Alligator mississippiensis: one gene and its partners. The protein of the gene in region 1 purifies or fractionates together with the protein of each later gene. This does not show direct contact. Links are inferred from orthologs where the notes say so. Each region holds a gene or a part of one and is shown in the gene's direction. Other genes may lie near its edges.

The links.
Region 2: the proteins of CANX (region 1) and TGFBR1 purify together in Homo sapiens (affinity purification with mass spectrometry; 3 studies listed by BioGRID and IntAct, with this or other methods). This does not show direct contact. The link is inferred for Alligator mississippiensis from reciprocal best matches to the Homo sapiens genes CANX and TGFBR1.
Region 3: the proteins of CANX (region 1) and GXYLT1 purify together in Homo sapiens (affinity purification with mass spectrometry; 3 studies listed by BioGRID and IntAct, counting the BioPlex papers as one, with this or other methods). This does not show direct contact. The link is inferred for Alligator mississippiensis from reciprocal best matches to the Homo sapiens genes CANX and GXYLT1.
Region 4: the proteins of CANX (region 1) and MOGS purify together in Homo sapiens (affinity purification with mass spectrometry; 3 studies listed by BioGRID and IntAct, with this or other methods). This does not show direct contact. The link is inferred for Alligator mississippiensis from reciprocal best matches to the Homo sapiens genes CANX and MOGS.

What each region holds. Positions count from the first base shown.
Region 1 is NC_081832.1:74,511,057-74,518,760, forward strand, and holds the start of CANX (calnexin), read left to right. Parts: upstream 1-4,528; 5' UTR 4,529-4,625; intron 4,626-5,068; exon of another isoform or gene 5,069-5,243; intron 5,244-7,704. UniProt on the Homo sapiens protein: Calcium-binding protein that interacts with newly synthesized monoglucosylated glycoproteins in the endoplasmic reticulum. It may act in assisting protein assembly and/or in the retention within the ER of unassembled protein subunits.
Region 2 is NC_081828.1:81,069,917-81,077,330, forward strand, and holds the start of TGFBR1 (TGF-beta receptor type-1), read left to right. Parts: upstream 1-4,131; 5' UTR 4,132-4,227; coding exon 4,228-4,306; intron 4,307-7,414. UniProt on the Homo sapiens protein: Transmembrane serine/threonine kinase forming with the TGF-beta type II serine/threonine kinase receptor, TGFBR2, the non-promiscuous receptor for the TGF-beta cytokines TGFB1, TGFB2 and TGFB3.
Region 3 is NC_081827.1:57,947,854-57,955,676, reverse strand, and holds the start of GXYLT1 (glucoside xylosyltransferase 1), read left to right. Parts: upstream 1-4,815; 5' UTR 4,816-4,921; coding exon 4,922-5,145; intron 5,146-7,823. UniProt on the Homo sapiens protein: Glycosyltransferase which elongates the O-linked glucose attached to EGF-like repeats in the extracellular domain of Notch proteins by catalyzing the addition of xylose.
Region 4 is NC_081825.1:588,476-595,963, forward strand, and holds the start of MOGS (mannosyl-oligosaccharide glucosidase), read left to right. Parts: upstream 1-4,377; 5' UTR 4,378-4,454; coding exon 4,455-4,806; intron 4,807-4,897; coding exon 4,898-5,118; intron 5,119-5,256; coding exon 5,257-5,450; intron 5,451-5,551; coding exon 5,552-7,286; 3' UTR 7,287-7,488. Other genes in the region: transcription factor LBX2, read left to right, coding at 1,751-2,009, 2,310-2,407, 2,542-2,655, 2,740-2,961, 3,045-3,142, 3,225-3,339, 3,426-3,533, 3,627-3,737 and 2 more. UniProt on the Homo sapiens protein: In the context of N-glycan degradation, cleaves the distal alpha 1,2-linked glucose residue from the Glc(3)Man(9)GlcNAc(2) oligosaccharide precursor in a highly specific manner.

The sequences.
Region 1 (7,704 bases):
TTTCATGTATTTAAAGTGTTACTGGAGGAGGATGCTAACCGCTCTGGTTCGTGATCCCCTGGCTGTATCTGTCATGCAGCCCTCTGTACATCTGTTAGAACTTATTTCAACACTGGGACCTATTCCAGTGCTTCTCAACCTTTTTTAGACTTGAAACACCTCTCATGAGATTTGAGGCACCCCTTGGAAAATGTCAGCTCTTAGTTTTCACTCGCTTTTTGGCTAAGGAAGAATAATAGAGCGATTCTTCTGTTGCAAATAACTCAGAAAGACCACAACGGGGCAGACTGTTTTTAACCCTATGAATTCCTAGTTGGGTTTATCTTGTGAATGATGTTTATACACCGAGGAGTGGTAACATTGTGAGGCATCCCACAGCACTCTTGAAAGGATCTGGAGGCACCCCAGGGAAAAATGGCATTGAGAGTCACTGACCTATTCCAGCTCAGTACAGCCCTCTCCCCAGACCTTTATCAGCGAATATAGGCAGCCTCCTGACGTAGCCTGTTTTCCCACATTAGCTGCCTTCTCTCACACCTCTTCACTCTGGCATTCTTTAAGCTGATTTAAAAGCTGTGCTTCCTTAGCTATGAAATCAGCTATAATTCTAGTTTATGGCTTTAATTTTCTGCCACAGGGTTCTTGTGTCCTATGTGAATCCATCTCACCTAAGATCCAGCCTCCCCAAAATCAAGGCTTGGCTGGCTGCATAAAAATTGGAATTTTTCTCCTGTGGTTTCACTGGCTGCTCCGTCTCCCCTTCAACAGGGTGAAACAGCCAAGGAAAGGCTAAGAGCTGTCTTCCTGCCACATAACTCTGTAGGGGACAAGAAGAATAACAGTCCATCATGGGCAAGCAAGAAGCAGTAGAGAGAGGCAGAGGGAAAGCAGTTGTGTGTTGGGAGGGGGGTTTGTAGGTCTCTGGGCTCCAGTCGCCTGCTTTGCCCAGGGGACTGGTTTTCTGTCTTGTTACTTAGCAAGGTTGGGTTTTTTTGGCTGAGTTACAAACTCAGGGAAAGGCCTGAAATTCATGGATTGCATACAATCATAAAATGATAGAAACATAGGGTTTAAAGGGACCTCCAGAGGTTATCTAGTCCAACCCTCTGCTCAAGACAGGATTATCCCTATCCAAACTACCCCAGACAAGTACCCTTCCAGACTAGTCCACACAAAATTGTATGTACAACCCTCTTGCCCAGGTATCAGGTACTGTGCCCAGAAACATCAAGGACACTTTAGCTGACCTCAGGTAAAGCAGGGAGATGGGGGTACTGTGCAGTCCTTTGTTAAGTATACTTGAGAGATCCACAGAAGAGAAGCATGCTTCCTGCTCCAGAGGAAGGTTATACCCTGCCTTCCCCCATAGTTCTTGCTGATCAGACCATGGGGCAAAATTCCTTCCTAATCCTAAATATGGTGATTGGTCTGGTACTGAGCAGAGGAGCAAGACCCTTTAGTCAGGAACCTCTGGGTTTAAGTCCCATCAGGACCCCAGACGTTTGCAGCTGCTGGAGGGAAAAATCTTCCTTCCCATCCCTCATATGGCAACTAGCAAAGTTCAGAAATGTGGGAAAACCAAGCACCCTCCATTGAATCACAAGCACAACTACACCCATCCATCGCGCGCTCTAACTACAGAGCCAGAACCCCTCTTTCTGTCATCCTATCCCTCCTATAAACTTGTCCCAGCTTTTCAACCCTGATTTATACATGAGCTGGTTGTGGAGCTCCGCTTCATTCTTCACATTCCACTCTGGATTCCAGAGCTCTTCACATGAGCCTCAAATGAGATGTACGTGTGGATCTCCTGGGCTTCCAGCCGTCGTTCTTCAATGCACACTGCAAGCATTGCTACCCCTAGGACATCCCTGACCAATGCTTATCCAATCTCTTCTTGAAAGCCTCCGATGAAGGAGGCTCCGCAGCTTCCCCAGACAGTCTATTCCACGGCCTCGCTGTTCTAACAGATTTTGCCTGGGCTGAAGAGGGACTTCATCAGTTTGCATCTTGTCATATTGAAGTATTGAGCTGCATGCTTTTAACCTTGGTAAAAGCCCCTCTGCATCGTATTTCTGAGACTAGTTTGCTGCTCTTGTTCTTCTCACTTGTCTGCAGCTTGTGTTTAGCCTCTGTTCGGGCCTGTCTCCAGCGAGGCTTGAATCAGCTTGGTGCCTTTCTAGAAATAAAAAAAAAAGGAAAACATGAATTCAGACTTCAATGTTGATAGATTTGCTGATCTCATTTATGCTGAGCCTTAACTCTAAATACCAGGCCCAGGCTCACATTGTCCTAGGGTGGTGGAATTTTCTCCCTGGTGAGATGCATTTTGCTGACTCATAGTGCTCACTCAAAGCAGATTCATGTTTAAAAAAGAATCCTGTTACCCCACAGGCTACAAGGTCAGATCCAGTTGATAGGACACTCACTCTCTGTTGGGATGAGCTACTAACTACGTTACTGTACTGTAACCAAGAGAGGTGACCAATGAACCAGGTATCTCCACGGTCACTTATCTAGAGCTGGGTCTGCTAGCCAGCGGTATAGCCATAGCAGCACAGACCAAAGGCGGTGTCTGCTCAGAGGAATAAATGATAGGAGCTTGGTTTTCCCATCTGAGATTCCTATTAATCTCTGGCTCATGCTGTCCTTGTTTTACATTATAGCAATGCTACTAATAACTTGTATCATCTTTTACAAAACGTTTACTCTCTCTGTGCCTCAGTTTCCCAATCTGTACAACGGGGACATTGCTTCCCTACTTTACAGGGCTGTTATGAGAATAAGTTTGCAATATACCTGGCATACATAAAGCATTTTACATCTGCAAGGCATCAAAGAATGTTATGAATGACAGAAAACAACACACTGCTTACAGCTTTTTCTATTACGGGGTATATAACAAAACTGATCTAATCGATAAGTGAAAGGGGTTGCTTTACACCAGAGATTGTCATCATTATTTGGCTGATGTGAATGTTCATCGCTATCCTCTACTGGAGAGAATCAGAACTGTTCAGATGCGTGTCAGACCGCACAGACGGCTAACGAACATTTTCCTCAGACTTTATGTTTGTAGGGCAGGAGGGTGGGAATTCTCTCTCGCTGCTGGGGCAGTGAAATCCTAAATGGCTAAATGGCGTGCAGCAAGTGCAACATACACAGGCCAGTATTGCTAACACTCGTGGGTTTCCTAAAATCTCAAGTGATTAGTTTGGAATTTAATTTTTCCTGTAACAATCTAGCCGATATAGTGCAGAGAAGAGCTTGAAACATCCTAAACATGATCAAGAAGCTCAAAAATCAGAAGGTAAATAAATAAACAGAGCATAATATTTATTATTTGTTTTTAACTTTTTTTTTTATGCAAGCAAATATAGAAGCAAAACTCCAACAGTCGAGTAACAGACTTGAATTGCACAAGATTAGAGGTATTATATATTTACAAAATAAATAATATAAAACAATTCTTATACCTTACCTGTATTATAAATAAAATGTTTATATATGTAAATATAACACTCATTAATGTTCAAACAATCTGGAGATGGACACTGGCTTAGTGGCTGTATGGATGTATGTGTGTATACACACACATATATGTGTATATATATGGATATGTACACATATGTGTGTATACATATATACGTATATAGATATGTATACACACATGCATATATATATCTCCATATTACATATATATGCATATATATACAGATGTGTGTACACACGCACACACACACATATTTGTGTGCATGTAGATAGATTGACTGTTAACTAGACAGACAAATAATCTATACAAATTAACTTTCATCACTTTATTATCTAATAAGAAATAAAGCATACCTAGATTATGTTTGGTCTATGTCATAGACCTGCCGTACTGTTTTGGTCCTTGCGTATTTATACATTCTTGCCCTAAAATTAACTTTATTTACCAGGGCCCCTGCTCCCCGCTCATAATTTACCCAGTCCAATCTCTGTCATTTGAATCTCCAAACAATCCTTATTTGCATATTTATAATTTTTAATCTCATGAGGTTTTTGTGGTGTGGACAACTTGATATTTACACTGCCTTGCACAGGATGCCCAATTTTCCTATTTGGCATTAGGACCCGCTTTCTCCGGACAGGAGGTGGCCCTCTCATGGCAGACGCGTGGGGCGGCTTTTTCTCCAGCCTCCCCTATCGAGCCAGCCGTGCCGCCACGAGGAAGCTCGCGAGACGCCTTTCCGAGACGCTGCCCCTTTAAGAGCCCGCCAAACCCTGCAGCAGCACTCCGTTCTTCTCCTCCTCTCCGGCCCCACCCCCCTGCCCGACGCCGAGCCAATCGCGGCCCACTTCCTCCCGGCGGAGCGCCAATCCAGGCGCTCCACGAAGGGCACCGCTGGGCGGGAGGCGGGGGAGGCGGGAGAAGCGACGAGCGACGGCATCGCGAGCCAATAGTGCCCGGAGGAAAGCCCCGGGGCGGGAAGCCGGCGGCCGGGTCGGCCAATGGGGGAGCGGAAGCGCAGAGCGGGGGGCGGAGCCAGTTCGCGCTAGATAGGCGGGCGGCGGCCCGGAGCGCGGCACGTGACGGGGGCGGTGGCGGCGGTCGCTGCTGCTTGGGGGGCGCGAGCCGTGAGGTGAGTGCGTGTCCCCCTCCTTCACCTCCCCCCGGGGCCGCCGGGCGCAGCCTGCGGGGCTGGGACCCCCACGGGGCGGGCGGGAAGGGTCCAGCACCGGTCCCTTCAGGGGCTCGGCCTACTCGGGCCGCTCTGGGCGGCCGGTGCCCTCCTGGGCGCTGCCTGGCACGTGCGCGCGCTCCGTCCCCGCCTGGAGGAGAAAGAAAAAGACTTTCCCCGATTGTGCCGGTTTATTCCCCACCTTTCTCGAGCAGGGGTGCGATGAGCTCGCGCCAAACGGGCTTTTTTCCCGCTTGGATGATGGTGCTCGCGTCGGGGGGAGGCTGCTTCTTACGTCTGCTGTAGAGCTGAGGAAATTTAAAATATTTTTTGTATTATCATCATTATTATTTCTATTATTATTATTCAGCCCGATGTAATAAACCTGACTTGCAAAATCGTGTGTCTGCCCGAGGCTGCGCTGAGCTGCTGGAGTCCAGCCACGAGGCCACTCAGGTTTAGCCAGAGCAGTTATTATCATCACAGTTTGGGGCCCAGCTGTCTCGCCTGCTCGGTGCAGGGGGCTGCACCCAGTGATCTTCCTGGCCTGACGGGTTATGAATTCAAGACACGTGTCTTGTGCGTAAATCCCTCTTCTGTGTTATTTTTTTTTTTTAAGGTTCTTTTAAAACAAAACCATCCCTCAGTCGTTTTCTGCAGAGCTTCTCGTGGAAACGTTGGTATCCAAATCCCGTTCACTGCTGGAGGGTCTGGAATATAGCCAGTGAGACTGATGAGTCTCTATTCATCCTGGATAGGGGAAAACCAATGCAAACTGGTAAAAGGAAGTGGTCAAATTTTAATAGCAGAAGTAGAAAAATCATCTTTTTTTGGAAGCCCTTTCATTAGACAGGTCTCACTTCTATTTAAAAATGATTTGGCTCCTTAAGGGTTGAGTGAAACACAGCCATCTTGGCAGGATGGGCAACTTAACTTTTATTTATTTATTTATTTATTTATTTATTTTTCATACCTCACTTCTTCCTCCTGTTAAATGCCTGTTTTTACCTATTTAAGCTTGATGCTTAAACCAACCCTGTTCTTTGTAAAGGTTTTTATTGCTTTGGAGTACAGGACAAATTAGACTTTGTTTCTAGATGAGATGTCAAGCTTTCTAAATAATCTCTTCACCTTGTAAAAAAAAAAAAAAAAAAAAAAAAAATCTTGCGGGGGTTGAAAGGAGTTTTTTTTGTGTTGCCTTAGCAGTTCCTGTGTGTTAACCATCAAAAAGCCTGCAGTGTTGTCTGTTCTCCAAGGACTTCCAGTTCTGCATGAATGACCTCTTTGCTGACAAACAGCGCAGAATTTTCCTTCGCCGTGCCTATATTGATGCAGCTTATTTTTAGAAGCTGACATGTTTGAAGACTGTTACTAAAAGCAGGTTTTTGCTTGGGTGTTGTATATTATTATAACTAATCTCTTGATTGTCTGAGCCTGTTATAGCAAACATCATAAAGAGTTGGCCCTGTGGGGGTGCTGGTTGAATTTCCTGGGCACAGCTGTAGATAACTAAAGAAGTTTCTGTGAAGTTCATGGAAATGTAGTATCTCTAAATGACGTGGTATTGATTAGCCCCCCTGTCTGCTATAGCCTCTTCTAGGAAAGGTGCCTTGGCTCGTGGTTGAAATTGAAACTTAAAGATTTAACTATATTAGAAGTTGCCATTCTAGGACTGGAAAATTTTGTTCAAAACTGGTGGAAGCAGGGGCTGTATCGGTGGATATATTTACTGTCTGTCCATAATACGATAATTCAAGTACAGAAGGGATGTAAGTAAATAGTGATTATGCTTTAACACTTCCGGATCATTGCTGTTCCTCACAGCTGCCTTTACTGTTGGTTTTGTTTTGTTTGTTTCTTTCCCTGAAGTGAAGTGTATGACTTTGTGTCCTTTGTACAAAATCAGTTGGCTTGAGGGTGTGTTGAGTAGTCTTTAGGAACCCTGGCTGAAGGGTAGGACCCATCTTTCTAGTTGTCCACAAACATACTGTGACAGTCTGTTTAGACCAGAGGTGTCCAACTCCTCTTGTGTCCTGGGCCAGACAGGCCATAGCTATCCCATAGCATGCAGCAACAGTGACGGCTCTGCCCCCCAACCCAGGGTATGCAGTGCAGCTCTGACTGCTGTCACGTGCTGGAGCTGCTGCTTGTGCTGCTACATTGTGCTATGGGGGCAACTCTGGTTCTGGTACGAGACATGCAGTGGCTTGAGCATGGGGCAGTGGCAGGGCCGGCTGAGCCAGTAGGGCTGAATCAGTGGCAATGGGCAAAGCCCTTCTGCCACTGATTGCCATGTCTATAGGGGCCCTTGGCCCTGCCTGCAGCAGGACACTCTATCCCCAACCATCTCCCCCAAAACTTCCAGTGGCTTGCTTGTAGCCTGGCTGGCTTCTTGTATGGCCCTCAGAACTGCTTGATTTGACACCCCTGGTTTAGGCAAAGCGTTAGTGAAAGGTAATGTTATCTTAATTTCCAAATGGAAGAACTTGGAAGACTGTCTTGGTGCACGTCATGCAAATAGTCCACTTAACTGTATGAACACAGGTTTCCACAGTCACGGCCTGATATTGGAACTGTGACATAATCTTTCCCCCTCAAACACTGGTCAGTATCCTCTGCCCACACATTTTGTAATACAGTGGCTGTAGTCCAAACCTTCATTTGGATTAGGCTCTCCTGCTCTTCCGAATTGGTTATTTAGAATAAATGCTTTACTAAATAGGCAAGTATGCTTTAACAAAGCACTACCAACAAATGGCAACCAAACAGTTAGTGGATTATGGTAAATTCTATGGCTTTAATTGCTTTAGGTTATAAGTGATTGTACAGCATTGCATAATTACAGTATGTTCCTTGCCCGGAAGAATCTATGGCTTGATATGTAAGATAAGAGAGACTTGAACAATGCATTGATTCAAGGCAGGGAGCTGAGAATAAGGTGGGAAGAAAATGGCTCTACAGAGAACTGTCTTTGTTTTCTCTTCTGGTTAATTTTGTTTGGAATGATTGGATTTGAAGCCATGAATTGCCTGATCTTGGT
Region 2 (7,414 bases), on another chromosome or scaffold:
CTAACCTCCTCTTGAAAACCCCCAGGGTAGGGGAGAGCACCACCTCCCTTGGGAGCCCGTTCCAGACCTTGGCCTCTTGAACTGTGAAGAAGTTCCTCCTAATGTCCAATCTAAATCTGCTCTCCGCTAGCTTGTGGCCATTGTTTCTTGTAACCCCCGGGGGCACCTTGGTGAATAAATACTCACCAATTCTCAGCCTTAGAGAAAAGGTATCATTCTTATGGATGTAAACTGTGAAGTTGGGTGGGCACTTCCTGCTTTATTTTGCATGCTGAGAGCCTCCATATGTTCTGGAAGATGTTCATAAACTTTCCTCAGTTGTTTTAGTTGGCTCTGGCTAATCACAGACAGTCAAAAGGCCAGTGGCTGAATTGATTCAATCTTCACAGGCTAGTCTAATCTGTGTAGATTGAACTGATAAGCAAGCGAACAAATGTTCACTTTTGATTCTGGAAATGCAGCCACATGCCTGCAGTGGCCCAGGCCAGAAGCCAGAGGGCCTGGGCCACTGGCCCTAAAGCATGCCTCCTTGCTCTGCTGGAAGAGACAGCTTAGGCCAAGGTTAGCTTGCCTTCCCTGCAAGCGGGGGTTTGTAGGGGAGGTGAAAAGCATCCCGGGGAGCTGGGGAACTCTGATTTAACTTGAATTTGGAGAGGATTTGGGACAGAAGTTCAATAAAACAATTTAACCTAAATGAGTTAAGTCATACTAAACTGATGATTTAATTCAGTTAAATCATACTACATCCATCCAAGTTTATCTTAAACTGGTTTCAGCCATTTTGAAAGTGGTTAATGCATACTGAACTTCTGTTGTTACAGATTTGATCCTTTTTCTGATCACTTATACTTGTTTATTTGTAATTTCTGCCCCTAGCCTCTGAGTACGTCCTTCCTATGTTTCAGTCTGAACTGGGTGAATTCCTTTTGACTGGCAAATTCTATTTGTTAATTCTGGGTTTTCCAGTAGCCATTCATGGTATTTTTGTCATTGGGATTTGGGACAATCTAGTGTCTTCTCAGGCATGTAACCTTTTGCAAAGTTCTTCAGTGCAAGATCATTCAAACTATACTTTCACCTTTCTTTCCTTCTCTCATATTTATTTTCAGAGCTTCTACTCTGGGACTTTTAACAGCTCCAATATATCATTCGCGGTATTTTAGCTTGTCTTAGTCCTGGTAGCATAAGATGTTCTGTAATCACTCAGAGCCAAGAGCCTGACAGAAGTGTGCCTCAGTTCTCACTGATCAGAGCCAACACAAAACAAAAAAAATGGTTTCAAATGGCTCTTGGAAAAAACCTTTAAAGGTATAGTTCCCTACACACACAGGGAAAGCTGTTATTTGAATGGAGGCCTACATCCAGCCCCCTTCCCCCCCTCCCTGCCACCGTTTCGGGGCTGGGCCGGGCTGGGCAGGACCCAGTGCCCCTCCCCCCAAAACAGTCAATCGGAATGCAAATAAAGCACGACAGACAGACAGACAGACAGGCTAAGGCTTTTATAATATTAGAATTTCAGCACTGGAAGTTGAATGAGAGGCATAACTGGGAAATGTGATGTAATAAAAAATATGGAAGAAGGTAAGATGTTTTAGTCCTGAATCAAGGTAGATGGAAGATAATGCAGCTATATACGGCTATTGTGTGTTGCAGTAATGGAGTATGAACTACCTGAATTGCATAGCAATGGTCCTAAAATCCGTCCAGTGAGAACAAGCTGTAATGTTGAGGTATCCATTACTACTCACTGAAGGTCAAGATCTCCAGTGTCAGAATCTGTTCCTTCTCTAACCTCAGTAATAACAGATAATGATTTTTAAAGCAGTTAAAAGTTCAGAGGTTTGAAACAACAGACGTGAGATTGTAGCACCAGGACAGGCAGTTTAGAGCTTAAATAGTCTGTTATATAGTACCTCTGTGGTTACTCCTCCTACCCATTTTACCCCTTTCAACTTTGCACTGCCTCTTGCTGCTTGCTTTGACCCCAGGGTGTGGTCTGCAATCCATTTGAGGTCTTGGGTATCTAAGGGTCAGGACTGTAGATATGGTGGCTGTAGCTACTTTCCCCCTAGCAGTCTTTTTCCTTGGTCCGTGTTTCAGGGAGGGATGATTGGTTGAACCTATCAGTTAATTTACAGGTAACATTTACTCCTATGCTGCCATTTGGAAGCTCATCATATTTTCTGCTAATTTATGGTTTAATTTTATTGTTGGCTGCCAGCCAAAAAGCAGTGTCAAAGACTTCTGCAGTCTGGGAAGTGGGTTAGGAGCCATCTGCAGGGGACATAGGGGAAGAGTGGATTCAGTCATGGAAGCCCTCAAGCACTCTAGTGGAAGGGAGAGAATAGAAAATAATTTCAACACTTATTTGCCTTGTCTTATTTTGGGCTTGACATACCTCCAGAAGACCCATGAAGAAGAGATGAATGTTGAAATATGAAGAATAATGGCTTTTGAACCTAAGCTTCATAACAAAATAAACTCCTGATTAAATTCTAACTGTAATTAAAGCAAAAAGCAGAGATGACCAGAGCAGGGTGCAGGGCCCTCCCTCCAGATGCAAGAAAGCTGGTGGCAGATTCGGTTGGGGGGAGGAGGGTCCTAAGCAGCCAGACATGCCAGATTCGGCAGCGGATTTGGTGGTGGCAGGGGGTGTGTGGGGGACAGTGGCAGCGTGGAGTCACTGCTCTGCTGGGCCCCGCAAAGCATGTGACCCAGGGCAGTCACCCTGATTTCCCCCCCCCCCCCCCCCCCCCCCCCCCCCCCCGGACAGCCCTAGCAAAAACACAAGATTTGAACAACCTTAACTATGCCCCAGCATTTGTTAGTAATGTTTCCTTTTCATTAGTTTCCTTCCCTGTTAATCTTTCTCATTAGTTTGAGTGACTAAACATATGTTTGCCTAGTAATGTTGAATCTGCTAGTGTGACAGGAGCAATTCCTGTGTGTATGTAACAGAGTTACAATTTGTGTCAGATCACAAAGATACATAACCCTGTTCTTATGATACTAAGATTACAGCATTATTTTGCTCAGCAAGGAAAAATGCAACTTGGGTGTGTTTCTGTAGTGCGGTGACAGTTGCTAGGAGAAAACGGAAAGGAGAACGAAGGAGTAAATATTAATTTTGCACGCTTGTGAACTGTTTAGAAGCGTTCCTGATTCATAACCATTTGCGTTTGTCCGAAAGGTAGGGTTTCTTATAAAAATGACTGCACACATACGCAGAACTGAGAAATAGCTTTTGTAGTGTATGTACAACTTGTTTTCAAGGAGACCCCCTAGCTCACCCCAGACAGAGGGACATGTGGTTATGTAGGAGTAGAGCTGCAATGCCCAGACTGGCTGGCACTGTGCTGCTAGACTTCCTGGGTGCTACGCCATGCTTTGTCGGGGGACACCATATGCTGGCTGAATGGTGGAAGGAATCGGAGATCTAGAAGTGCTTGGGCAAAGTTAGCCCGCTGGAGTGGTTGTGGGTTTTGCCCCAGCTCAGCCAGCTGCAGAGCAAATGGTCGGTGTGGGCGAGTGGGTTTTGGACTGGGAGGAACAAGCAAGGAAAGGAAGCGCCGGCTTCAAGGCAGGGTCTCCACCCCGCAACCCTCCCGGGGACCCAGCTCAGCGCAGCGGCCCTCACCCCCTCGGCAAGGGCCGACTCCTAGCGGTCCCGCCGGCACTGACTGCAGAGCAGCCCTGCGGCCGCCGACAACCCCAGCAGCTCTCCACAGGGGGTCCCCAGCGTCAGTTCCAGGTTGCTCTGCTGAACCGCAGCCGCCCGGCTCAGTCACCGCCCGGGGAGCCTCCGCCCACGGGCCCCGCTGCCGTGATATAGCGGCGCGGCCGCAGGCGGTACTCCAGTGCTCTCCCCGCCGGGCGCCCCCAGACAGGCAGGAGCCCCGCCCCGCCCCGCCCCCGCCCGCCGGGCCCTGGCGGCCTCCCGAGGGCGGGGCCTCGCCTGCCACTCAGGTTCGGGCCCCGCCCCGCTGGCCGCGCGCCGGGCCGGTTGTAGGCTCGCGCCCCTTGTTGTTGCTCGGAATGTCTGCAGCTGCCGTTGGGGGCGGGGCCGGGGGCGGTGGCCGCCAATCAGGAGCGGCCTCCGCTTCAGTTGCCCGGGGGGGGCCGGGCCCGGCGGCGCGAGGCTGTGTGTCTCAGTTAGGCGGGCGCGCGGGGGCCTCCAGGCGGCGGCCGGTCGCGCGGGGTGGGCCCCGGCTGGGCTGTTGCGGGACGATGGCGCGAGCGGCTCCCGGGTGGCCCCGGGCCCGCCTGTGGCTGGCGGCCGCCCTGCTGCTGCTCCCGGGGGCAGCGGGTGAGTGCTGCGGCCAGGGCTGGAGCGGGGGGGCGGCGCCTTGGGTCCGGCGGCTCCTTTCACCAACATGGCGCGGGGGCCGGGCCGGGCGCTGGCCGCGGGGGAGGTCTATGCTGGCCAGAGCCCGCGGCCTCGTCCCATTGTTGGCCGGGCCGGTGCGGGCTGGGCCGGGCCGGGCCGGGGGGCGGGTCCTGCGGGGGCGGGGCCGGTGGGGCTCCGCTAGTGTCCGCAACCGCAGCGCCGGCGCCTCCGTGCGGGATCGGGCCGGGCCGGGGCAGGCAGGAGCTGTGGCAGGGGCCAAGGGCCGGCCGGGGTGGGGGCGCGCAGCCGCGGCCGTTGTGCTCCGAGTGCGGGGCTGTCCGCGGAGCGGAGCCAAATGCAGCCCGCCGAGCCCGGGCACTCGTTCCGGGCCCCGCGCGCCGCTCGTCTCTCTGCCCTGGAGTTCCCCTGGGGGTAGAAAGTAACTTCGTAGCTCTAGCTCTTGTTCTTGCTCTCTCTTTAACCTGGGGAAACTTCATGACTTCCTTCTTTTGGTTTTTTGTGTATGTGTGTCTCGAGCGCTTTGTGCGAGCCGGAGGCCTCCCTCGCAGTCTGTGTTTTCATCTGGTAAACCTTACGGTTTCCTCACTGAGCCAGAGTCTCACTTTACGCTGAAGCTTGTGCAGCAATAAATGACATAACTAGATCCTGTCTGAAGCTGTCTTGTTCTCATAACTAAAGTTGTTTTGACGAGATGAAGCAGGTATTTTTTTAAAGGGGGGGGCGGGGATGACAAACAATGAAGTAAGAGTGGAGTGAAATACCTGGTTGCTGCTCACTGTCTCAGGCTTGCTACAGGTTTTGAGTAGCTTAACCTTCGGAGCACAGTATCCTTCTGACTTGCGTGGTATGGAGAAAATCTTACGCTGGTGGGGTAATGCTTAGGAAAATCATGTCTAACATTTCTTTTGCTGAACCAGGCAGATTTTGTAAGAGCTGGGGTGTGATGAGGTATAGTGGGACTGGGAGGAATGGGTTATAGTGGGACTGGCTTCCATAACATCTTTGTGTGCTGCACATTTGAAAAGATATAGTGCTCCTTGAAAGCATTTTTACAGATATTTTTCTGAAAAGTGCTGGTACCAGGTTGAATCTGCTTATGATAAGTTAGGACTGATACCTTATCATAAGCAGATTCAACCTGGTACCAGCCCTTATAAAAATCCTACGCTACGCTGAACTGTTAACTGAATTGCCAGTCTGCTTGTATGACAGCCCAAGGGCCACATGCAGCCTCTGAAGAGTAGATACATAGTCCTCAGGCTCCCACCCTTGGGCTCCCTGTTTGCCAGGTTGCTCTGGCTCTTCCCTGCTCTCTCCCCCTTCTGGCTGCTGCCTCCTGCCTTCATCCTAGGGGTATGGCAGTGTGGGGAGCTGAGGGTCAGCTCAGGGTTCAGGGGAGGGAGGGAAGAGTTGGGGATTGCACTTGAGTGGTGCAGAAGGAAGAGGAGGGGGATGTGCATGTTGACGTGGGAAGCAGGTTGCACCCACGTGGCTCAGTAGTTGAAGGGGGCGGGAACTTCTGCATAATATACCTGGTCTGGCCCCCGGGGACCTAGAAGTTGGACAGCCCTGGCACAGGTTGTCCTACATTTATGTAAAACAAAATAATAATTTTGTCTTAACATTCAGTGTCTGTCATTGGATGCCCTTTGTGATAATCAGGGATCCTGGTTTTCCCTGACAAAAAAATCATAAATTCTCCAATAACCCCCTCACCCCCCCCATCCATTATTAAAAAGAAAGCCCATCCCCATCCTCCCTGGCCCTGCTGGTGCCCCCCACCCCCAGCTCCTGCTCCCCCAGCTCTGCTGGAGGCGGGCCCCCAGCTGCCAGAGCTATGGAGCCAGGGACTCGGGTCCACAGCCCTCTGCCCCTTGCAGCAGGTAGTAGTTGTTGCAGTGGAGCGGAGCCTGGTGCACACCTGCTGCCTGCTTGCTTCAGATTTGTGCAGGGGGGGCAGATCCCTGCCACAGTGTGCACTCTGGAGAGGCAGGGGGGGACCCATGGGGCCAGGGCTGCATGCTATGGGCACCCATCCTGCTCCCCTCCCCTGGGACATCTGCAGCCTGGCACATGCGACCTGGCACTGCAAAGAACAGCAAGGCCACTCAGGAAAGCTGCTTGCCACTGCGAGTGCTGTACTGCCCTGGCAATGCATCCTCTGTGCGCAACCCCACGCCGCCACCCCCGCTGCATCCACGTGTACAGGGGACCGCGTTGCCAGGGCAGTGCAGAGCTCGTAACCACAAGCAGCTTTCCTGTGCAGGCTTGCTGTTCTTTGCAGCACCAGGTTGCAGAAGCCCCAGGAGAGGTCATAGGTGCGGAAACCCGCAGCAGGCAGCATGCAGCCCCCACCCTCCACATAGTTCTAGGGGGCACAGGTCCCTCCTGCTCTCCAGGACGGCACACTGCAGTGAGGAGCAGGGACCACCCCCCCCCCCCAGACAGATCTGGTGGGCATGGGTCCCCCTACCCCCCGGGAGTGCATACAGCAGCAGGAAGCTGCCTGCTGGGTGAGCTGCCCGCGGCCCTATTCCGCTCCCTGCCAGGGCTCTGTGGCCGTGCATTACAGCTCCAGGCCCCAAGCCCCAGGTGCTGCCTAGCTGGGCAGCAGCCCCTGCCTTGCTTAACTCCCTCCCTTCTTCCATTTGGGACCATCAATGCTTCCTCCCCCCCACTTACCTGTGGGAGCTGTTCTCCAGGCTGCCTCATGGCCATACGTATATGTATGCACATGGATACCCTGCCTGGCCACCCTCCTCCCGCTCCCCCCAGTCCCTTGCAGGCTGAAAACTTGCCAGCCTGCAGGGAGCTCTTTGCAACACAGCAAAATCTTCAGGTTTCTCCTGTAAAATGAGAAATCTTTGTTTGCCTCTGGTAAAAAGTAAAATCCACAGTTTTCTCCCTTTTTTCTGTGGGAAATGAAAAACCTGGATCCCTGGTGATTATACAAGTATCTTCCTGGTAGATCAGAGGGAAACTCGTCTTCCATGAAGATACAGGTTTAAAGCATCAAAACTGTTTAACACATGGTTTTAATGAAAAAATCAAAAGCTGTAACAAAGG
Region 3 (7,823 bases), on another chromosome or scaffold:
CCACCAGCCCCTATCTCTCTGGGCCCCTCCCCAGCACCATGCTCCTGGCCCCCTGTCTCATTGTACCACCCTTGGGCATCAAGCCTCCAGGCCCTGCCTGCCCTGTAGCCTTGTTCTGCCCCTCCTGGGCTCAATAATAGCTCAGTCCTTGAGCCCACCCCGGTAAGTGGTGGTGCAGAGTCACTTGGAGGAACTGGATTCCTTTAAGTTGGCAGGCCTGGATGAGCTCCATCTGAGGGTACTGAAGGCACTGGCCGACGTCACTGCGCAGCCACTGGCGGGAATATTCGAACGCTCATGGTGCACGGGCCAAGTCCCGGAGGACTTCATTTTCAAGAAGGGGAGGAAGGAGGACCCAGGCAACTATAGGCCAGTCAGTCTCACCTCCATCCTTGGCAAAGTCTTTGAAAAAATTATCAAGGCTCACATTTGCGAGAGCCTGGCAGGACAAATTATGCTGAGGGGAAACCAGCACGGATTCGTAGCAGGTAGATTATGCTTGACTAATCTAGTCTCTTTTTATGACCAGGTTACAAAACGCCTGGACGCAGGAGTAGGGGTGGATGTCGTATACTTAGACTTCAGGAAGGCCTTCGATATGGTATCCCACCCCATACTGGTGAACAAGTTAAGAGGCTGTGACTTGGACGACTACACAGTCCGGTGGGTGGCGAATTGGCTAGAGGGTCACACCCAGAGAGTCATAGTGGATGGGTCGGTTTTGACCTGGAAGGGTGTGGGCAGTGGGGTCCCGCAGGACTCGGTCCTTGGACCAATACTCTTCAAAGTCTTCATCAGCGACTTGGACGAGGGAGTGAAGTGTACTGCGTCCAAGTTTGCGGATGACACAAAACTGTGGGGAGAAGTGGATAGGCCGGAGAGCAGGGAACAGCTACAAGCAGACTTGGACAGGTTGGACAAATGGGCAGAAAACAACAGAATGCAATTCAACAAGGAGAAATGCAAAGTGCTGCACCTAGGGAGGAAAAATGTCCAGCATATCTACTGCCTAGGAAATGACCTGCTTGGTGGCATGGAAGCGGAAAGGGATCTTGGAGTCCTAGTGGACTCCAAGATGAACATGAGTCGGCAGTGTGACGAAGCCATCAGAAAAGCCAATGGCACTTTATCATGCATCAGCAGATGCATGACGAATAGATCCAAGGAGGTAATACTTCCCCTCTATCGGGCGCTGGTCAGACCGCAGTTGGAGTACTGCGTGCAATTCTGGGCACCGCACTTCAAGAGAGATGTGGATAACCTGGAGAGGGTCCAGAGAAGGGCCACTCATATGGTTAAGGGCCTGCAGACCAAGCCCTACGAGGAGAGACTAGAGAAACTGGACCTTTTTAGCCTCCGCAAGAGAAGGTTGAGAGGCGACCTTGTGGCTGCCTATAAGTTCATCACGGGGGCACAGAAGGGAATTGGTGAGGTTTTATTCACCAAGGTTTACAAGAAATAATGGCCACAAGCTAGCAGAGAGCAGATTTAGACTAGACATTAGGAAGAACTTCTTCACAGTTCGAGTGGCCAAGATCTGGAACGGGCTCCCAAGGGAGGTGGTGCTCTCCCCTACCCTGGGGGTCTTCAAGAGGAGGTTAGATAGGCATCTAGCTGGGGTCATCTAGACCCAGCACTCTTTCCTGCCTATGCAGGGGGTCGGACTTGATGGTCTATTGAGGTCCCTTCCGACCCTAACATCTATGAATCTATGAAAGTGCTCCGGGCACAGGCACTAATGTGACCTCCAAAACCACCCCTTACAGTCCCAGTCCAAACCACCAGTATGAACAGCAACATAAACGTGAACCCGTGGGCTATAACATAATAATAACAACAGAAACAGCCCTCTGCCCCTTTAAGAGAGCAAACCTTTACCCTTAGTATAGCATGCCTCCCTACCAGGGTATCTTGTGAGCTCTTGGGGCCTCACTACTGCTGTAGGCAGCAAAACAGGCAGTCAAGAATCCCTAGGTATCCCTCCTAGGTAGGAGCTCCTTCCCCAGCAGCTACCAAGGAGAGACTCCCCTGCCAACCCCAGCCTTGGGCTTATATCAGGGGTGGGCAAAATGTGGCCCGCAGGCCAGAAATGGCCCACCAAGCCATTCTACCCAGTCCACAGAGCCCCTAAAAAATTTAGAAAATTCATATTAATCTGCCCTGGGATGCCTATCATGAAGCCCTCAATGGGTTGCCAAAACTCAGTAAACAGCCCTCCACCCACAATAATTGTCCACCCCTAGCTTATATGCTCCCTGGGCTCTGCCTCCATATGGTCAGCTGACCACTTGCAGGTGTCTGCTAACTGCCTCATTTGCCCGGTTGCCCTGGCAACTGGCAGCTGCTGTGCCCTGCCTGGCTGGGCTGCCTTTATCTTAAAGTAACAGAGGCCAGGCTCTCTGTTACAGGGCTGTTTTGGATTCTGCCCCTGTTGCCAGTTTGCAAATGTAGCTCATGTATTTGGTCCAGAGGAAAAGTAGGACGTCTGCCATTCCTCTGCCTCCAGACCATTTCACTTTGTATAGCTTGGTCCTTGCTACTTTCTCCCAGGTGGAGTGCTAAAAGAAAACACAAATGGCTCTTTGGATTCTGCAGATGACTTGCTCTGAGGTGGGGAAGATTGTAGCGCTGTATAGGAGCATAAGCAGAAGCACCGCTTTCATCAGCACCACTCCCCACTGCCCCGCACTGGCAGGCAGCACAATTGCCATAGTCCCAGCTTCTGTTTGGCTTTGGACTCTATCTTTTCCCATACCCTGTCCCATCAGCTCTGGGTCAAACTCCACCCCAAGGATCTTTACCCCCTCGCGGGGGACGGAGACCCCTAGGTGTGGCAGGTCCTCCAGGTTGCCCAGGACTAGGCAGGTGCTTTGTTTCATGTTGAGCTTGGCCCCTGCTGCTACTCCATATACCATTGCGCAGATAAAAAGGATTGGGAAGAGTGGGCAGCCCTGCCTCACATCTGACTACACCACAATCGGAGCTGTCAGGGACCCGTTCACCAGTATCCTGCTGCTCACATTGGTGTAAAGTGCCTTTATTCAGGTGACAAAGGTTGCAGGGACCCCCATCTTCTCAGCATCTTCAGTAGGAAGCAATGAGATACCTGGTCGTAGGCCTTCTCCAAATCAAGGTTCAGCATCCCGATATTCTGTCACCTCTCCCATTGGTACTGTAGCACACCTTGCAGCTGCATCAGGACTTTGTGGATCTGTCACCCCAGCACCATGCAAGCCTGGTCCTCATGGATCACTGCACCTATAACAGAATTAAAACACTCAGCCAACACTTTGGCCATTAGTTTGTAGCCAAGGTTCAGGAGCATAAATGGACCCCAGTTTTGAAGGTCTCACCTCTCCCCCTTCTTGTAAATAAGGATTATGAGGCCCTCGTTCATCTCCGCTCCTAGGTGACCGTCCTGCAGGAGCTCCCTATAGACCTCCAGCAGGTTCGGATCCACCTGGTCCCAGAAAGCAATATAGAACTCCTTGGGCAAGCCCCAGGAGTCTTACTGTCCCAGAAGCTGCAGAGCATCATGTTGATCTCCTCCAGTGTCCACTCCTCCCCCAGCTTCTGTCCCTTGTCCTCCCCAAGAACCTGCATGAGTTTCTGCAGGCAGTTCTGCATTGCCCCAGGGCTCTGCAGTCATGCCATGTAGATTCCAGAAACCACCATCTCCAGCAACTCCTCATTTTACTGGTGCTCCACCCCAGCTCTGTCTATCAGGCTGGTCATTGGTCCTTTCTTATTTTCCTTTATCTTGCTAAAATAAACAGACCACTCTTCCCCCTCTTCCACCCAGGTGACCTGGGCCCTGTGCCAGGCCTAGGGTGGCCATCATAGAGGACAGTCCGGTTGTCCTCTATCCTCTGTTGATATGAAACGGGATACCTTTATGTCCTCTATTTTTCTCTTCAAGAGAACTGTGTCATCAAAGTTGAAATATTTCTTTATGTTGAGCAACAGCAACAGCAACTGTCACAGTCAGATGAACGAAGGGCTCAAAGCTTGTAACCAGAGCTAGAACCAAAGGGACAGTGTGACTATAACCAGAAAAGGGTTATGGATGGGAGTGTAGTGCCATTACTGTAGCAGGTGCGTGGATGTGAGATTTTGTGGTACAGCCATGATGTTTTGAGACTGTTTGGGGTAGGGAAGCCAGTGGGCAGTTGCATGGGGTCGTGGGTCCTTCAGTGTATGTATTGTAATAGGTTTATAGGTTTTGTTGGGTGAGTTAAGGTATGGGAAGAAAAGTGTATTAGAAAGTGTATGCGTATACATGTGTGTGTGTGTGTGTATATATATATTAACAAAAAAAAAGGTTTTGAAAATGAGTTAAGGTTTGTGAAGAATGTATGCTAGATGGTGTGTGTATGTATGTATGTGTATATATATATGTGTGTGTGTAGGGACATATTTTTCCAAAAACAAACGAACAAAATCTTTATGTTGAGGCAAGCAGTCATAAAAAAGTGGTGACAGCAAACCCCCAAGTCGGTTAAGACTCTGAGACTGACTTAGGTTTTGCCCTGCTGCATCAACGAGCTGCCTTACTATTGTCCACTTGAGCACGCTCACCACGATCGATCACCCATTGTACTAGGGGGGACAGGATCCTACAACATGGTCGCTCTTGTCCACCCGGCAACAGCGGCGGGCTCCGGGCCCTGGCAGGCTCCAGCCCCCGCGCGCTCTCACCGACACCCGGAGCCCGCCCAAAGGCCAAGCCGGGGAGGCAGGATCCGCCCCTGAGCGGGGAAAGGAGGCGAGGAAGAGGAGGAGCTCTGCGCACCCTGCTCCGCGCCGGGCTGGGGCAGGCCTTGGCTACCCCGCCCTCTCCCAGTCTGCCCCGGGCGCCCGGTCCCGGTCCGTCCCGTCCTGTCCCGCCCCCGGGCTCTCGGCGCCGGGCGGCGCGGCCGGGATGCGGCGCGTGGCGCGGGTGGCGCTGCTGTGCCTGGGCTGCGGCTTGTGCTCGCTGCTCTACGGCTTCAGCCAGCTGGCGCTGCCCGCCGAGCCCGGGCCCGGCGCCGGGCGGGGGAAGCCGCGCGGGCCGGACGCAGCGGCGCGGAGGCGGGGCGCGGGCGGCCCCGGGCGGGCGGTGGCTCGGGCAGGCCGTGGCGCCCACGCCTTGCCGCCGCCTCACAGGTACTGCCGGGCCCCGGGCTGAGGCTGGGGGGACTGCCGCGCCTTCGGGACCCGCGGGCCGGCGCCTGGGCCCGCCCTCGGGCGAAGCGCCTCGGTGCCCGCGGGCCGGGCCGCCGCCCCGCCGGCTCAGCCTGGTGCCCCTGCGCGGCCTGGCTTGGCCTGGCCTGATCCGGCCCCTGCCGAGCCCCCCTCTCTCTCTCTCTCAGCCTCGGGGACCGAAGCAGTGGAGGGGGGTGGGGGACACTGCTCAGGGCAGAGGGGAGGCCTCGTGGTATTCGGCTCAGCTTAGTTGGATCAAAGGTGTCAGGAGGGCTTGGCACAGGAGAAGGGAGCCTAGGACACAAGGTGCCAGAGGCCCAGATCTGCCAGGTCTAAAAACCCAGAGGTGGTGGCAGTGGGGAGCAGAAGCTGCTGAGACCTGCAGTGCAGGGGCTGCTTCATTCTTTTGATGAATGGGGTAGCCCTGAATCGGAGGCATCAAAGGTAGGTTGCGGCCGCATCTGCCCGAGGAGTCCTGCAATCCAGCCCGTGCAGCACACGGAGCCCATCTGGTGTATGGGGATTCAGTCGGGTGTGCTGCATGCAGCCCCTGCGCCAGACTGGTCCTGAGCACTGGCTCTGGGGCTGGTGTGGATCCAGCTGTGCCAGCGCTAGTACGTGGGGCTGGTGCAGTGGGACTCTGCAGGTAGAGTGTGCCCCGCGTGCCATTTGTGGCACGTGTGGCTGTCCCAACCTTGCTAGCTGTGAGGCATGTGCTGGCCCCACTCCAGCTCTTGTTACTTGTAGATGCAGGTGACTACTACCAGTCCAAGTTTTGAAAGTCTCTAGGTAATTTTTGAAAACAGGACCTTAATTTAGACATTTCTGAAAAAAATGATCTGAAATCTGAATTTGTGGAACATCTTCTTCAGGAGTGAGCTAACTCTTCTGTATAGGAAATCTCTTTTATAAAGGAAATGTCATGGTTAAAACCAAAGGTACTGGGCTGTAGCTAGCGCAGAGCAGGTCACGGGAAGGCTAGAAAAATGTGGTGACTGGTATCTAAAAAGTTAAATTTTCTGTGACTTTATGTCAAGGGATTGTTGCCTTCAGCCCTGAGATTGTGTTAGAGCAGGGGTGGGCAAAATGCAGCCCCGGGGGCTGGATGTGGCTCACCAGGCCATTCTATCTGGCCTGCAGGGCCCCTAAAAAAATTAGAAAATTAATATTTATTTGCCCCTGGCTGCCTGTCATGCGGCCCTCAATGGCTTCCCAAAACTCAGTAAGTGGCCCTCTGCCCACAATAATTGACCATCCAGAAAAGACAGATTCACAGGTGAACTGGGCTTCTAGTTATATTTATTCAGGTGTACAGCAGCTGAACATAAAGTAGCTACAGTTTCCTGTTGTAATTAAGGTATATTTAACTAAAATGAAAGAAATCCTTAATGCCTCTCAATTCAGAAATAGCAAACTTAGTTACAAGCTAGTGCAAGTTAGCCTCTCTCCTCCTCACTTCAGTGGTTTGATGAGGAAAGAGAGTTCCAGTTGTACTCTAGAAGTTTTCAGAAAGAGGTTCAAATAGGCTAGTTATAAATTGCTTTCAGAGGACTTTGGTGGGAAAAAATGGTCAAGCAGATAATTAAAATCTTAAAAACCTCAGCAAAAAAGAAAGGGAAAAGTCTTATCCTGGGTAGTCAGGTTTTTTTTCTTTTTTGAAAATCAAGTAGGGTGTTTACTTAAGTGAAACCACTCTACTGAAATGGAAACATTCTCTTAAAGATAAGATTGGATAAGTACTCTGTGAAGCACTACAGGGTAGATAAAGGTAGGGCCAACCTTAACACCTGATCAGACCCACATAATCATTTGCCACTAAGTCTTGCAGCTTACCCTCGCTACAAAATTTACATAATTTTAGTCCCCTGTTATCAGACTGGATGCATGCAGTTGTGGGTTGATGAGAATATACACAAAGTCTGCAAATGAGTTAACCATTTGTCCTTTCTCAGGCTATCATCAGGTGTACGTTTATACCAGGAGAAACAACTTTCTTTTAGGGATGCATCAATAAAGATTTTCTTGGCTAATACTGATGGCTGATTATTAACTGGCCATATCAGCTGATACTGATCCAATAGCTAATTTACAGGAATGTAGCTCGACAGCTTGGAGCAACCAGGTGGTAAATCGGGGGAGGTGGGGGGGGTAGATTGAGGCCCCCACAGTGAGGGATGGAGTGGGGCAGGGGCAAGTGCTACCCAACCAGGGCAGTGAATGCAACTCCACTGGGAGCAGTATGGAACTGTGGGAGGCTCATCCAGGGTGCACGCTGTGCGCACCCCTGGCATAGCCATGGGGGGCATGTACCCCTCTCCCCCAGATTTGTGGGTGGGGTGAGGGTGGGCTGCCTGCTGTGGGCTTGGGGCCAGGGGCTGTACCAGTCCTTTCCCGGCCATGGGGCTGGGCTTGGGGCAGGTGGTGGTAGCACTAGGAGGGGTGGCTACAGCGGATTTTGGGGTGGCTATAGCCCACTCTGTAGCTACCCCTCCCAGCGCTGCTGCCTGCCCAGCCCTGGCCTAGCCCCCTTGTCGGGAAGAGGCTGGCACTGCCCCTGGCCCCAAGTCCACAGCGGGCAGCCTGCCCTTGGCCTGCACACAAATCCTGGGGTGCACATGCCCCCCATGCCTCCCCCAGGG
Region 4 (7,488 bases), on another chromosome or scaffold:
TGGCCCCCATGCCGAGGTAGTTCTGCATCCCTGCTCAGCCCCGATGAGCCCGCGCAGCCCTGGCCTGTGCTCCACAACAGCATGGGCGACCCAGGAGCTGGGGGAGAGTGGCACAAACGGGCATCGGCCTGGGTGCAGGGTGGGGGTCAGAGGATGGAGACGGGCAGCTTTGTGGCTGCAGCACAAGGATCAACGGACAGAAAAGAGGGTGTGGGTGGATCAATCCTAGAGCTGTGGAGCCAGAAGGGACCTCTGGGGGCCACCCCCCTGCTCCAAGCAGGATCAGCCCCAACTACATCATCCCAGCCAGGGCTTTGTCTACCTGGGTCTTCCGTACCTCCAAGGATGGAGACTGCACCACCTCTGGGTGACCTGTTCCAGTCTTTTACTACCCTCCTAGTGAGAGGTTTTCCTCATATCCAGCCTCAACTTCCCTTGCTGCAGCCTGAGCCCATTGCTCCTTGTCCTGCCGTCTGCCCCCACTGAGACCAGCCCAGCTCCATCCTCTTTGCAGCCCCCCTGCAGGGAGTTGGAGGCTGCTGTTCAATCCCCCTCCGTCTTCTCTTCTGCAGACTCAAGCAGCCCTGCTCCCTTGGCCTCTCCCCCCGCCCCCAACCACTTTCCTTGCTCTCCGCTGCACTCTCTCCAACGTGTCCACATCCTTTCTGCAGTGGGGCGCACAGCTGGACACCGGACTCCAGATGTGGCCTCCCCCCTGTTGAATAGGGGAAGGATCACTGCCCTCCATCTGCCGGCAATGCTCCTGCCGATGCAGCCCGGGACGCCGGTCGCCCTCTTGGCGCAAGGGCACACTGCCGGCTCCTGTCCAGCTTCTTGTCCCCCATCGCCCCCAGGCCCTTTCCTGCAGAGCTCTGCCCAGCCCGTGCCCCCGCCTGCCCCGGGGCAGGGGATCGCTCCTCCTCGGTGCAGCACTTTGCACGTGTCCTTGTTGGCCCCCCCCTCAGGAGGCTCCCGCCAGCCCAGTCCTCCGGCGTGTCGGGGTCCAGCGCACCGCGCTCCCCCGCCGGGCTCGGTCACCTGCCCGGCCGCCGATGAAGGCGGTGAAGCAAGGCGGCCCCGGGGGCTCCGCTAGGTGCCAGCTGCCACCCAGACGTCGCTCTGCGCCCGGCGCTGCAGCCGGCTCTGCCCGCCCGGCTCGGCTGCGTTGTGCTGCGCTGCGGGAAGCCGGATCAAACCCCGGCTGCAATCCAGTGCATCGTGCCCGCATCCGCAGCGCCGAGCACCTGGTCGCCAAGGCGGCGTCCCTGCTGCCTCGCCCCGGCCATCGCCGCCCGCTCCTGCCCGTGCTCGCCCGCGACTCCCGGGCACCCGCTCCAGCCACCCACCGCGTGCGGGGCCCGCCTGCGCCTCCGGGGCGGGGGGGGGTAGAACTACACGTCCCGGCATGCCCCGGGGCCGCCCACGTGCAGCCCCAGGACTGCAGTTCCCGGCATGCCGCGCGCCGCCCCGCCCCGCCCCCCTAACTCGGCCCAGCAGTGCGGCCATGGCGGCCTCGGCGCTCCCCGCCCCCCCCGCGACCCCGACCCCGGCCCCGGCCCCGGCGAGTACCACCCCCTCCCCCCCGCGTCTGGACCGGGGCCGGCGAGAAGGGCAGGGGGGGCTGGGGCAGGAAGTGGGGGACAAGGGGGGCTGGGGCAGGAAGTTGGGGGCACTGGGGCGCAGGGGGACCGGGGCAGGAGGGGGGCGCTGGGGCACTGGGGGACCCCTTGCTGACCACTGTCGCCCGCAGGCTGGGACGGCGCCGGGGGAGTGGGAGGACGAGGCGCTGGAGGTGGCGCTGGCGGGCGCGGCGGCGCGGGCGGCGCAGGACGAGGCGCGGCTGCGAGCCCAGGCCAAGCGGCGGCTGCGGCGCACGTCGTCCCGCGACTCCGCCCGCGAGTCCCTGTCGGAGGGCGGCGAGCCCGGCCCCGAGCCCCCCGGCAGCCCCAAGGGCCGCGGCCACGACCGCCGGTCGCGCATGGGCAAAGGTCGCGGCCTGCCCAAGAAAGGTCAGGGCCCGTGACCCCCCCGCTGGGCCCCGCACTCCCGCCCCGCCGCCCCCTCCCCACTTGTGCTGCTGGTGCCCCACACTCCCGCCCCGCAGCAGCCCCCCCCACATTGTGCTGACCTGGGGGGTCCTTGCTGGGCTCGCGGCCGTCCCAGCACGTCCCTGCCTTGGCTTCGAGCCCTCTGGTGTCCCCTGTCCCCAGCAGCTGCGGGGGCCTGAGGCTCTTCCGTCCCGGGCCAGGGGTCTCTGCCATGGGGGGGGGGCTGGCAGGACCGGCAGTGACCCCTGTGCCCTCCGGCAGGTGGTGCTGGGGGCAAGGGCGTGTGGGGCGCGCCTGGCGTGGTGTACAGCTACCAGGAGCCTGATGCCCGGGACCCCAACTATGACGAGTCGGCCCAGGTAGCTCCCCGCACCCCGGTCCTTCCCTGCTGCCCCCCCCACCCCCGGCTGTCAGGTGCAGCCAGCTGGGGCAAGCAGCTCCTGGGGAGGGCAGGGGGTGCCTGGGCTGAGAGCTCCCTGCCCCCGTGCCGCAGGGGGACACCGTCTACGCCACGGTGACACCGGAGCTGGAGGAGGCGGAGCTGGAGAAGAACGTGCAGCCCATGGTGCTGGAGTACTTTGAGCACGGGGACACCAGCGAGGTCATGGTGAGTCCCCGGGGACCCCCGTGGGGGGGGGGGGGCTCCCCTGGCAGGGCCGTGCCCGTGCTGACGGCGGGGCCGTGCGCGCAGGCACTGCTGCAGGGGCTGAACCTGGGCGAGCGGCGGGGCGCGGTGCCCGCGCTGGCCGTGGTGCTGGCGCTGGAGGGCAAGGCCAGCCACCGGGAACTGACATCACGTCTGCTGGCTGATCTGGTGGGCCGCGTGCTGACCCCCGACGACCTCGCCGCCGCCTTCGACCGCATGCTGCGCGACCTGCCCGACCTCATCCTCGACACCCCCGAAGCCCCGCAGGTGAGCGGGGAGCCCGGGCTGGGGACAGGCACTGGGGTGCCGGGCAGGGGCCAGGCTCCCCCATCCCACCCGTGTCCACACAGATGCTGGGCCAGTTCATCGCACGGGCCGTGGCCGACCATGCGCTGCCCCTCGACTTCCTGGAGCACTACAAGGGCCGCGTGGACTGCGAGCACGCCCGGTACGTGTGCACGGGTGTGTCCCCACGTCCCCAGTCCCGCTCCCTCTGCCCGCCCCCCTGCTCACCCGTGCCCCCCCCGCAGGGCGGCCCTGGACCGCGCGGCCGTGCTGCTGCGCATCAAGCGGGACGTGAACCACCTGGACAACGTGTGGGGCGTGGGCGGGGGCCAGCGCCCCGTCAAGCACCTCATCAAGGAGGTCAGGCGGGTGCCCGGGGTGGGCGGTGGCGGACCGAGGGGGCTGGTCTGCCCGTCCGTCCCTCAGCGCCTCGTCCGTCCCCCCAGATGAGCCTGCTGCTGCGCGAGTACCTGCTGTCCGGGGAGGTGTCGGAGGCCGAGCGCTGCCTGCGCCAGCTCGAGGTGCCCCACTTCCACCACGAGCTCGTCTACGAGGTAGGGGCAGAAGAGCGTCCGCGCTCAGACCCCAGGCTCGTGGGTTGCCCGGCGGTGTTGACCCCTTCCCCCTGTCTCATCCTGTCCCCGCAGGCCGTGGTGCTGGTGCTGGAGTCCACCGGGGAGACGCCCGTGGCCATGATGGTTCGGTTGCTCAAGGTGCTGTGGGAGACGGGGCTGGTGACGCTGGACCAGATGAACCGGGTGAGCGGGGCGGCGGGGGCGCGGGGCAGGCTCAGTCCCCGGTGCCGGCTGCAGCCCTGACCGGGGTCCTGCCCCTCCAGGGCTTCCAGCGGGTGTACGAGGAGCTGGGCGACATCAGCCTGGACGTGCCGCTGGCCCACGGCCTCCTGGAGAAGCTGGTGGATCTCTGCTTCGAGGAGGGCGTCATCACCAAGCAGCTGCGCGACGCCTGCCCGGCCCGGTACGCAGCGGGTCTGCGGGGAGGGGGGCGCGCTGGGCGGGGGGGGCTGCGGCTTCGGGCCCTGACTCTGCCCCTCTCTGCTCCCCCAGGGGCCGCAAGCGGTTCGTGAGCGAGGGCGACGGGGGACGGATCAAGGAGTAGCCGGGACTCGCCCCCCCGCACACGTCTCCTCGCCGCCTTCCCTCGCTCCATGCGCCAGGGACTGCCGCCTCTCGACCCCTGGCCTCGCTGGGGGGGCCGGGCCCCTCCCCCGACCACCTTGACCTTGACCTTGACCTCGGGCGGGGGGGCACTGCTAATAAACGTGTCCCCGCAGGAGCCCGGTGCCGCTTGTTATTTGGGGGGAGGCAGGCGTGCAGGACTACACGTCCCAGCGCGCCCCGCGGCGGGGGCGCCACGTGGCTAGCTGGCTGGCGCGGGGGCTGCTGGGGGCGGTGACGCGGAAAGGGCGCGACGCGGCGGCGGGGTGCGCGGAGCGGAGCGGGGCCGCTCGGGCCATGCCGCGGGAGCGCAGGCGCCGGGGGCCCGAGGGGCCGCGGCCGGCGGGGCGGGAGCGGGAGCGGGGCCGGGGCGCGGCGGAGCGGGCGCGGGGCTCGGGCTCGGGCTCGGGGCCGGGCCGGGTGCTGGCGCTGGCGGCGCTGGGCGCGCTGGCGCTGGGCTGCGCCGCGTGGGCCGGGGCCGCCTACGGGCGCTGGAGCCGGGCCGCCCGCCTGGTGACGCCGCTCGCCGCGCCCCGCGCGCTGCCCGACAGCCACAACGCCAGCGCCGCCGCGCCGCGCTTCTGGGGCTCCTACCGCCCGCACCTCTACCTCGGCATGAAGGCGCGGAGCCCGCGCTCGCCCGTGGCAGGTGCGTGGGGCGGGGCGGGGCCGGGAGCCGCGTCCACGCGCGCGGCTCACCCCCCCCGCCCCGCCCCGCCCCGCCCCGCCCCGCCCCGCAGGTCTGATGTGGATGCACCAGCTGGAGTCGGACGTGACGCTGCGGCACACGTGCGAGCAGAGCGACCGTCTGCCGGGCTACGGCTGGCTGCTGCACGACGGCCTGCGCTTCGGCGTGCAGGAGATCCGCGACTTCGGCCTCGCCCTGCGCACCGACTTCGTCAAGCGCCCGGGCGGGCGGCACGGCGGCGACTGGAGCTGGCGCGTCACGGCCAGGCCCACGGTGGGCGCCGGGGCGGGGCGGGGGAGGGAACCCACGTGTCCGACCACTCCGCCGGGGGGCCGTGCCCCTCGCTCCGAGCCCCCGGGCGCCCACGTGGGTGGGGATCAGCCGGGTGACGGCCCCTCCTCGCTTTCCCAGCAGGACACGGGCGCCCCAGCCTCGCTCGTCTCCCTCCTCTTCTACGTGGCCACGGACGGGCAGGGGGAGCTGCAGCCCCGCGTGGAGGACAAGACGCGCCTGGCGGCCGTGACCGGCACCTCGGAGGAGCTGGGCCACTTCACCGTCACCTTCCGCAAGCCCTCGGGCGCCGGCACAGCCTCGCAGCACGCCAGGTACCTGGGCGGCTGCTCCCGCCTCAGCCCACCCTGGAGGGGCAGGCAGGGCAGGGGTGGGCTTCCACTGCCCGGCCCTGAGCTGCCCCGTTCCCTCGCAGCTATAACTACCTGCAGGCCACGAGCCCAGGGCTGCACCGCGTGGCCGACGTGGTGAAGAGCAGCCTGAGCAGCCGGTTTGTGCACGCGCCGCCGAGCGGCCCCCGGCAACGCTACTTCGGGCTGGACACCTACCGGGGGCCGCCGAGGGACCCAGCCAAGCCGCCCCGCACCCAGCTGCTGGTGCACCAGGTGACGCTGCACCTGCCCTGCCAGCTGGAGGTGCTTTTCGAGTCGGGCAGCGTGACGGAGGCGGAGCGCCCCAGCCCGCTGGCCGGCACCACCCTGAGCCGGGAGCTGGCCAAACACGCGAGCGCCTTCGAGCAGCGTTTCGAGGAGACCTTTGGGCTGGCTCACAAGGGCTTCTCAGCCGCGGAGCAGGCCTTCGCCCGGGCCGCGCTCAGCAATGTGCTGGGCGGGCTGGGCTACTTCCACGGGCGGTCGCTGGTGCGGGCGCCGCAGGGCGAGGAGCCACTGCTCTACCCCGAGAGGCCGCTCTTCACGGCCGTGCCCTCCCGCTCCTTCTTCCCCCGCGGCTTTCTGTGGGATGAGGGCTTCCACCAGCTGCTGCTGGCACGCTGGGACCCAGCGCTGAGCCGTGAGGTGCTGGCCCACTGGTTGGACCTCATGAATGCCGAGGGCTGGATCCCGCGCGAGCAGATCCTGGATGATGAGGCACGTGCCAAGGTGCCCCCCGAGTTCGTGCTGCAGCACCCTGAGGTCGCCAACCCACCCACCTTCTTCCTGACTCTGCAGCAGCTGCTGGCACAGGGCGAGGCAAAGCCGGCCTACCTGCGCCGCCTCTTCCCCCGCCTGCAGGCCTGGTACGACTGGTACAACCGCACGCAGGCCGGGCCGCTGCCCTACACCTTCCGCTGGCGCGGCCGTGACACCGACACCAAGCTCTTCCTCAACCCCAAGACGCTGGCCTCAGGGCTGGATGACTACCCGCGCGCCTCACACCCCTCGCCCGACGAGCGGCACCTGGACCTGCGCTGCTGGATGACGCTGGCCTCCAGCGTCATGGCTGATGTGGCTGAGCGGCTGGGCGAGCCGGCAACTGAGTACCAGCACCTGGCGCAGGCACTAAGTGACAATGCCCTGCTGGAGCAGCAGCACTGGGCCGCGGAGCTGGGCACCTTCGCCGACTACGGCAACCACAGCCGGGCCGTGGGGCTGGAGCGCGAGCGCCTGGTGGTGCCCCCAGGGCAGCCGCGGCACCAGCTGCCTCCACCCCGCTTGGTGCGGGTGGTGCGGGAGCCGCCACGGCCACGCTTTGTGGAGGCGCTGGGCTACGTCAGTCTCTTCCCCTTCCTGCTGCAGCTGCTGCAGCCCGACTCACCACGCCTGGGGGCCATGCTGGCCGACCTGCGCAACGAGGCCAAGTTGTGGACGCCCTTCGGCCTGCGCTCGCTGGCGCCCACCAGCCCCCTCTACATGCAGCGCAACACGGAGCACGACGCACCGTACTGGCGCGGTCCCATCTGGGTCAACATCAACTACCTGGCGCTGCGGGCATTGCACCACTATGCCGGGCTGCCGGGGCCGCAGCAGGCGCGGGCGGCCCAGATCTACCACGAGCTGCGCACCAACCTGGTGGGCAACCTGTACCGGCAGTACGTGGCCAGTGGGTACCTGTGGGAGCAGTACAATGACAGCACCGGGCGCGGCCAGGGTTGCCACCCCTTCACTGGCTGGTCTGCCCTGGTAGTGCTTGTGATGGCCGAGGAGTACTAGGGGGTAGGAGCGCGGCCCGTGCCACCAGGCTGAGCTGCTGTGAGCAGGCCCGGGGTGTGGGTTTCTGGCCCCCAGCAGCTCCTGGCCCTGCTCATCCTTCTCAGGGTTTTTTTGTGGATGATGCAGCCTAGCTGCCTCTGGGGGCGGGAACCGGATGCAGCGATCTCCGCACCAGCTGGGCCCAGGAAGCTTTCTTAATAAA